Xenopus tropicalis: one gene and its partner. The protein of the gene in region 1 interacts with the protein of each later gene in a biochemical or structural test. Links are inferred from orthologs where the notes say so. Each region holds a gene or a part of one and is shown on either strand. Other genes may lie near its edges.

Region 1 (4,589 bases):
CTGTTTAATACAATAAACAAAAAGCATATAGAGCCCAAGTCCCATTCATTGTACTCATGTTGAACAAGAGGGTTTACTGCACCATTAATATATTGATAAATCCAGAATAAAAATGTTGTAAACTTGTCCCTGAAAACTTTCCACTTAATATGAATATTAATCCGTGATCATCAATTTTTATTATCATGTATATATTATGGTAGGGTCATACTATAACCTGTAATATGAACTAGTTATTTATTTATCTTTGTTATTGAATATTTGATCCTTGTCCAGGAGGCTGGCAACCACCCAGAGGATATGGACGTGGAGATGATGTCAAGCACATCTCCACCAGAAAAAACCAAACACAAGTCTGCTTCTCCTAATCATCACCAACTTGCTGTGCCAGCCACATCAAACCAGTGCAACAATGCCAACCTACCTTCACCGGTGGATAGTCCTTACAAAGCTGAAAAGAATGGACATCCAAAAGACAGTACAAAGCCTGCCAAAGTTTTTGAAATTCAGACAATGCCTAATGGGAAAACACGGACCTCCATTAAAACAATGAGCAAGAGAAAGCTTTCGCAACATAAGGAAAAAAAAGCTACACAAATGTTAGCCATTGTATTGGGTAGGTATCCACTTTATTGTGAAAATTAAAGTCATATTTAAACAATAATTGCATGAAGTTCCTCTGAAAGGATAATTAAAACTTAATTTTAATATGTTTTAATTTGTACCAAATTGTGCCTAATTAAACATCATATCTGCTCTTTTATCTTTATATCTCATGCTTCATAACATAAGTACAACTATGACAGATCATTTTTTAAACTTATATTGTTCATCTATATGTTTGGTTTGATCAAACTTGCCAAACATCTCCCCATATTATTACTTATTCACATATTTTTCACATTATGACATGTGGTCAAAATCTGTTTTGGATTTAATAGATTCTGATCAGCTTTGCTATAAAATTATCAATATCATTTATTTATATAGCACCAGAAAGTTACACAACACTTTGGGGCACATTTACTAACCCACGAACGGGCCGAATGCGTCCGATTGCGTTTTTTTCGTAATGATCGGTATTTTGCGATTTTTTCGGAAAATTGACGCGACTTTTTCGTTACCAATACGATTTTTGCGAAAAAACGCGAGTTTTTCGTAGCCATTCCGAAAGTTGCGATTTTTTCGTAGCGTTAAAACTTGCGCAAAAAGTTGCGATTTTTTCATAGTGTTAAAACTTGCGCGAAACGTCGCGCCTTTTAAGTTTTAACGCTACGAAAAAAGCGCAACTTTTCACGCAAGTTTTAACGCTACGAAAAAATCGCAACTTTCGGAATGTCTACGAAAAAGTCGCGTTTTTTCGCGCAAATCGTATTGGTAACGAAAAAGTCGCGATAATTTCCAAAAGGTCGTAAAGGCGCCGAAAAAATCGCAAAAAATACGAAAAAGTCGCAAAATGTTCGTTTTCAAATCGGATTTTTCCAATTCGGACTCGGATTCGACCCATAGTAAATGTGCCCCTACGTATTCCTTTCTAACAGACAGTTGTGAATAGTTAAAAATATAACTAGAGTTACAGAGCACAAAGGAGCACAAAGCACAGGAGGCCCCTACTCACAGTCTAAATTGGGTACATTTGAAAAATAAAGAAGATAAAAATAATAGGTGAATTATGATAAGTTGATGTCTTATCAGTCAGGATGCATTGAATATGCGTCTTTAAATTGGTGGGTCTTTTGAAGTTTTTGAAAGTTTGGAAGGATGGGGAGAATCTAAAAACAGACAGAGGATTCCAGGGACAGGCAGAAGCCCGATAAATATACAGCAGCAGATGTGAAGTTGTGATAGATAAATTAATCTAGCAGCAGGTTTAAGATCAGGTTGGAGTTGTGAAACACAATATTGGAATGCCTGCAAGGAGTAAGAAATAGTAAGAAATGATGTCTAGGAAGAGTAGCAGTAGTCAAGGTAGGAAATAATAAGAAGTGTTTAGTTGTATCTGAGCTGAGGTAAGGTTGCATGCAAGCAATGTTGTGGTACAGGGGAATATGTTGGAGGAAAAATAATAAGACTCCATAGCAATTGACACTGTCACATTGAGATAGAGATAGCAAAAAGGCATTCTGTATCTTGAGAAAAGACAGAAGGAGACAAATCAGGAGTTTACAGGTAGATTTGGGTGTCATCAGCATAAAGGTGATACTAAAGTCCAAATGACTAAGTTTTCTAGAGAAGTGAAAAAATCAGAGGCCTAAGAAACAGCCTTAAGAAACTCCAACAAAGACAGGTAATCATGTGAAAGTAAAGTTGGAGAGAGCAACTTTAAGGCTATTGTCCCACAGATCGAGTTTTCGTGAAATTTACTCCTGCAGCCAGACTTTGATGTGACTCCTATTGTTGCCTAGATTTTGGAGTGGTTAGGTGCCTGCGGTAGCAGAGATCACAGGTGACAAACTCGCTCCATGGGACATTAGCCTAAAGGAACAATTAGAATGATCGGATTTAAACCATGAGTAGAAACCAGCTGAGTAGAAAATGTCTAGGAGGAGTGGGTAAACAACATTACATGTTTATGGTCATAAGCTGCATGGGTTTTTCCAAATGTATTCATGTTTAATTGCCTTTACCGTCAATTGTGCCTTTCTACTTATGTTACCAATTTTCCCTAACTTATAGGACTAGACCTGCCCATGCATCATAAAATGCTTTGTTGTTCAATATGTAAAGATGCAAAATCTCAGCATACATTTTACTAACTACCCCAGTGATTTAACAACAGCGGCACTAATGAGATTTCAGTGGTACTTATTAGAACAACCAATTACAAATCAGCTCTTTTGAGTTAAACTTTGGTATCTGTATTGTAACTATTATAGTTATAATTATTATTTTGTCTTGCAGGTGTTTTCATTATTTGCTGGCTTCCTTTCTTCATAATTCACATACTAAATATGCATTGCAATTGTAACATTCCACAAGCCTTGTACAGCGCCTTCACTTGGCTTGGTTATGTGAACAGTGCTGTCAATCCAATTATCTATACTACATTTAATGTGGAGTTCAGAAAGGCCTTCATTAAAATACTTCATTGTTAAAAGACAAGATAGAAGAATAATGCAGTAATCAATAACAAGAAGATACAAGACACAGAAGAAACAAGCACGTCCTGGGTTCCCTTGGACTGGTGAAAATGGTGCTTTGTGAGCAATTATAGCAGCTGAATGCTGTTATGTGGAGAGGTCTGTAAAAGGGTCAAGCTGATGTAACTAAAACATAGTACTGCATTTTAAGCAATTGTTTTGGAATGGGGGATAAGAGTTCTTACCAACAAGCAACATTAAGAAGAAAATCAATTTCAACTGAATTCAGCCATCAATAATGACCTTACTTAATGGTTTCAGGACACTGTATGTCACTGCAGTCTCACCAAAGACGTTGCTATTTTTTGCTATTCCTCTTTTTCATAGCAGAAAAGTTACGATTTGCAGGGACAACACTGTGAATACCAGTGAAACTATATATTTTTCTGGAAACTGAACACCCTACACACTTCTGGTTGTGTGCCTTGGGTTTCTATGGAAGTGATGTTAACGTAAGCTTTCTTAATCATTTGACCCAAAAGAGTAAAAATCAACACAAGACAACAATGTTGAGGCAGCCTTATGCTTACAAGTGTAAATATAGCAAGAATAATTTGAAAGAAGCCCAAGCAAAAAAGTATATATATATATATATTATATAGAAAAATAAAATCTGTACTGCATGGTGTGTGTTACATTAAAGGACTACCATTGTCACACCATATCTATACCGTTGGGATTTAATACTAAACACCTTTTACAATCATTTCTTCTTTGTCCTACTTTTACATGTATGGTACAGTAAGATACAATATCGCTGAGATGTTAACCATAGCACCAGTGCAGTATATCACAGAGGTTTTCTACATCAAGTTGAAGTTGTTGCCTATTTATTTTAAAACTATACTTTTCAATTTCAAATGCTACAGACAGGGCTGTATTTAGGTTTGGTGCCACCCTAGGCACTGGAAATAAATATGCGCCTATGTTGCAAAAGTGAAATCACGCATAGCGTGTACGTGACATCCCTTCCTGTGCCGTGTGACATCACTTCCGCAGTGTGTTTGCCAGTCTTGCCACTATTTACTCCACATTTTTCTCAATCAAATAATTCTCAGTAAAGTTATGGAAGCCTGAAATGATCCAAAAACCAGATAGCCCAAATTCCCATAGCCCCAGGTGTATGTACTACATAGATAAAAAGGCAACATATAGCCCCTTCCAAAGCTGCTTCCAAAGGACTCCAGACCTATACTGGTGTGTGGGTTGCACACATTTACATGGATTTTTGCTTACCAAATCATATATATTTATATGTATGTATAAATTAATGGGTTACTGAATCAACGAGTTCATCAAAAGTAATGGGTGAACGTGGTGCCGATATCAACATTAAATTAATATTAGAGATCTAATAGAAAAGATTTGGATATTTAGTGTTAATTTTAATATGTATTCTTTTTTAATATAAACTATTCATTTTATGATACATCACAAGTCATGTACCTA
Region 2 (4,394 bases), on another chromosome or scaffold:
GTACACCTCATTCAGAGGTCCCTATGCATTTCCCACTTACCCCTGTGCCACCCTGAGTATAGAACCTCCAGGCAGTTTACTATATGGCCCATGGGCTACCTAGGAAATGGATCCAACATGCCACCCCAGAATAAAGTACCCCAGGGTGATGCTATTTTTAAGCACAAGCTAAGTGGTTTGCCCCACTGGAGGGGTGCCCAACATTATGGCTAATTCTTTGTTAGAGAAAAAGATTTATCAGTGGTAGTTCCCCTTTAAGTCTGCGAAGGGACCAGCTATATTACATATATATATATTCCTCCTGCCCGATATAATAAATTATACATGACAGAGGCAACACTTGAAGACAATTCAGGCAATCATCCAATTGACAGAAAAGTGTTGCCCCGGGGTGTCTAGCACAGCTGCACCATGTGACTAGATTAACACACACTCTGGGTGCTGCCCCCCCCCCCCCTTCTCCAGGTGCAGGGGGTGTGAGACAGCAGAGGGGGTCATGGGTAGGGTGGGGCCCAGAAATACACTTTGCTGAGGGGCCCCTGGCTACATTTCACCCTCAGTTCCACTGCACCAAGTCCCTTTACAATAAGGGGCCCTGTATTCACTGCAGTGAAGCAGCAGCAAAGCACTCAGATCAGTGGCAGGCAAGTCCATACCATCCAGCTACGGCTGAACTACAACTCCCAGCACCCTTAGCGCTCATCTTGGCATGCCTTTTTGTTTGGTTGTCTTTCGGTCAGAAATACAACTCCCAGCATTCCAGTCAATCATATAAGCAGCTATATCTGACACTGTGTGCCAGGGGCAGGACTGGCAATACCCAGCAGCCTCTGCAAGCCAAATGCTGAAGGATAAACATACGCACGTGGTAGCTAAGGTTGGTAGCAGGTAACAGAGACTTCCAACGCCCAGCAACCATAGAGCAGAAGTATGCATTGTGCTGTAACACTCCCAGGATCAGCCTGAAATTGCTTAACTGCAGCTCCCAGATTTCCCTGCTAGCCAAGGTTACACTCACACCAGTGGCCCCACCACAGATCCCCCCCAACCTAAAGGCTAGGTAAAGGCTACAGCTGGTCCATGCAGAAATACAGCTCCCAGCATGCTCAGCTGGCAAGTATGCCTGATCATTATACCCCTGAAACTCCCAGCATGCTCAGCTGGCAAGTATGCCTGATCATTATACCCCTGAAACTCCCAGCATGCTCAGCTGGCAAGTATGCCTGATTATACCCCTGAAACTCCCAGCATGCTCAGCTGGCAAGTATGCCTGATCATTATACCCCTGAAAGTGCAGTCCCAGCATGCTCAGCTGGCATGTATGCCTGATCATTAAAACCCTGAAACTCCCAGCATGCTCAGCTGGCAAGTTTGCCTGATTATTAAACCCCTGAAACTCCCAGCATGCTCAGCTGGCAAGTATGCCTGATCATTATACCCCTGAAACTCCCAGCATGCTCAGCTGGCATGTATGCCTGATCATTATACCCCTGAAACTCCCAGCATGCTCAGCTGGCAAGTATGCCTGATCATTATACCCCTGAAACTCCCAGCATGCTCAGCTGGCATTTATGCCTGATCATCAAAACCCTGAAACTCCCAGCATGCTCAGCTGGCAAGTTTGCCTGATTATTAAAACCCTGAAACTCCCAGCATGCTCAGCTGGCAAGTATGTCTGATCATTAAATCCCTGAAACTCCCAGCATGCTCAGCTGGCATGTATGCCTGATCATCAAAACCCTGAAACTCCCAGCATGCTCAGCTGGCATGTATGCCTGATCATTAAAACCCTGAAACTCCCAGCATGCTCAGCTGGCAAGTATGTCTGATCATTAAATCCCTGAAACTCCCAGCATGCTCAGCTGGCAAGTATGTCTGATCATTATACCCCTGAAACTCCCAGCATGCTCAGCTGGCAAGTATGTCTGATCATTATACCCCTGAAACTCCCAGCATGCTCAGCTGGCAAGTATGTCTGATTATTAAATCCCTGAAACTCCCAGCATGCTCAGCTGGCATGTATGCCTGATCATTATACCCCTGAAACTCCCAGCATGCTCAGCTGGCAAGTATGCCTGATCATTAAAACCCTGAAACTCCCAGCATGCTCAGCTGGCATGTATGCCTGATCATTATACCCCTGAAACTCCCAGCATGCTCAGCTGGCAAGTATGCCTGATCATTAAAACCCTGAAACTCCCAGCATGCTCAGCTGGCAAGTATGTCTGATTATTAAATCCCTGAAACTCCCAGCATGCTCAGCTGGCATGTATGCCTGATCATTATACCCATGAAACTCCCAGCATGCTCAGCTGGCAAGTATGCCTGATCATTAAAACCCTGAAACTCCCAGCATGCTCTGCGGGCAATAATAGCACTGCAACAGCTGATGATCCACAGGCTGATTAGAGCAGCTGCTATAAGAACAATGGGAGTTACCAGAGCATTCCTGCCCCCCCAGTAGCACATTTGCCCCCCCCCAGTGCTGTACTCACAGTAGGTTTTCCTGGTCAGCTCCTCCACCACCTCAGGCTTCAGCTTGCTGTTGGATTTCCCCATTGTTCGCGAAGTCTTTCCACCTCCTCCGCCCCCTTATGGGGTTAATTCATGGAATCAACTCCCCCAGCAGCCGCCTGAGCCTTAGGACGGGGCCCCTCTCGGTGCAGGTAACCGGGGTGTATATATAGGTGTGAGAAGGGCGCACTAGGGGGAAACGGGGGGTGGAAGGGAAGGTACGGTGTGCCTGACGCGCTGCAGCTCCGCTTTCACTCTCTGTCGCCCCCCCCCCCACGGCAGAATGGATGGAGCTGGAGGCGGCAGTTGTGCCTGTGGGGTTCCCAGGCCTAGGCTGAGCCCGCTGTGTGCGAGTGAGGGGCTGTCTCAGCCGTGTTGGCTGGGGAGCTCGGTGCCTACTGCCCGCTGCCTCCCTCCGTGTGCTTCTGTGGTTGTCCCTAGTTACTTTGCGCTCCTCCTCTCCGTGCCTTCCATTCACTGGCTGCCCGGGAGCATTACAGCCTGCGCTCCGCCCCTTCTCCTCATGACACACTCACTCCCCATTAATTTATTTTCTATCCCCCCCCTCACTCCATTCTTCTCCTTTGCAGATAATGCAGCCATCCTCCTATCCTTCCCCCAAGAACCTCCCTGTTATGTCTGTATCTCTGCTGGAAATATTAATGCCCCAGGCCCCTTATTAGCCTCTGGCACATTGGCACACAGACCCTTGGCACCTCAGGGTGCCAGGCTGGCAGCCAGGGTTGGACTAGGCTGGCGGGACACCGCAGGGTCAGACTGGGCTGGTGGGGTACTGGGAAAAAACCTGACCCAGACCTGATCCATATGGTGATCCCCAGGGTTTGACTGGGCCGCCGGGTAACCGGGAAAAATCCCAGGGGGCCCCCGGCGGCCAAGACTCCACCCTCGCTGGCGCTCCCCCTGCCTGACCGGTCCTCCCCTGAAGCGTTAAACTTACATGCGCTCAGGGGAGGACTGGGGGTGGGGGGGTTAGGGTATGTGCCGGCGGGGGCACCTGCAGGGCCCCTGGGGCAAGAGGGGGGGCCCCCTCATCCCATGTCCCCTAACCTCCCCACCCCCCTGCGGGGGTTAGGGGGGGCCCCTGTGGGGGTGGGGGGGGTTAGGGGACGTGCCGGTGGGGGCACCTGCAGGGCCCCTGGGGTGGGAGCCTTGGTGGGCCCTGCACCCCCCAGTCCAAGTAAAATGCACACATGCTCAGGGGAGCGAGTTGGGTGGATAGCGGGGGCACCTTGGGTGGTAGTCCCGGTGGGCCTTGTGCCCCCCCCAGTCCAAGTATAATGTACACATGCTCGGGGGAGCGAGTTGGGTGGATAGCGGGGGCACCTTGGGTGGTACCCCCGGTGGGCCTTGTGCCCCCCCCAGTCCAAGTATAATGTACACATGCTCGGGGGAGCGAGTTGGGTGGATAGCGGGGGCACCTTGGGTGGTACCCCCGGTGGGCCTTGTGCCCCCCCCAGTCCAAGTATAATGTACACATGCTCGGGGAGCGAGTTGGGCGGATAGCAGGGGCACCTTGGGCGGTAGTCCCGGTGGGCCTTGTGCCCCCCAGTCCAAGTATAATGTACACATGCTCGGGGAGCGAGTTGGGCGGATAGCAGGGGCACCTTGGGCGGTAGTCCCGGTGGGCCTTGTGCCCCCCAGTCCAAGTATAATGTACACATGCTCGGGGGAGCGAGTTGGGCAGATAGCGGGGGCACCTTGGGTGGTAGTCCCGGTGGGCCTTGTGCCCCCCAGTCCAAGTATAATGTACACATGCTCGGGGGAGCGAGTTGGGCGGATAGTGGGGGCACCTTGGGTGGTAGTCCCGGTGGGCCTGGTGCCCCCCAGTCCAAGTATAATGTACACATGCTCGGGGGAGC

The links.
Region 2: the proteins of drd2 (region 1) and ncs1 form a complex in vitro, tested with the Homo sapiens proteins (2 studies listed by BioGRID, with this or other methods). The link is inferred for Xenopus tropicalis from reciprocal best matches to the Homo sapiens genes DRD2 and NCS1.

What each region holds. Positions count from the first base shown.
Region 1 is NC_030683.2:86,295,094-86,299,682, forward strand, and holds the end of drd2 (D(2) dopamine receptor), read left to right. Parts: intron 1-276; coding exon 277-616; intron 617-2,901; coding exon 2,902-3,095; 3' UTR 3,096-3,846; downstream 3,847-4,589. UniProt on the Homo sapiens protein: Dopamine receptor whose activity is mediated by G proteins which inhibit adenylyl cyclase. Positively regulates postnatal regression of retinal hyaloid vessels via suppression of VEGFR2/KDR activity, downstream of OPN5.
Region 2 is NC_030684.2:13,239,229-13,243,622, forward strand, and holds the start of ncs1 (neuronal calcium sensor 1), read right to left. Parts: upstream 2,907-4,394; 5' UTR 2,560-2,906; coding exon 2,496-2,559; intron 1-2,495. UniProt on the Homo sapiens protein: Neuronal calcium sensor, regulator of G protein-coupled receptor phosphorylation in a calcium dependent manner. Directly regulates GRK1 (RHOK), but not GRK2 to GRK5. Can substitute for calmodulin. Stimulates PI4KB kinase activity.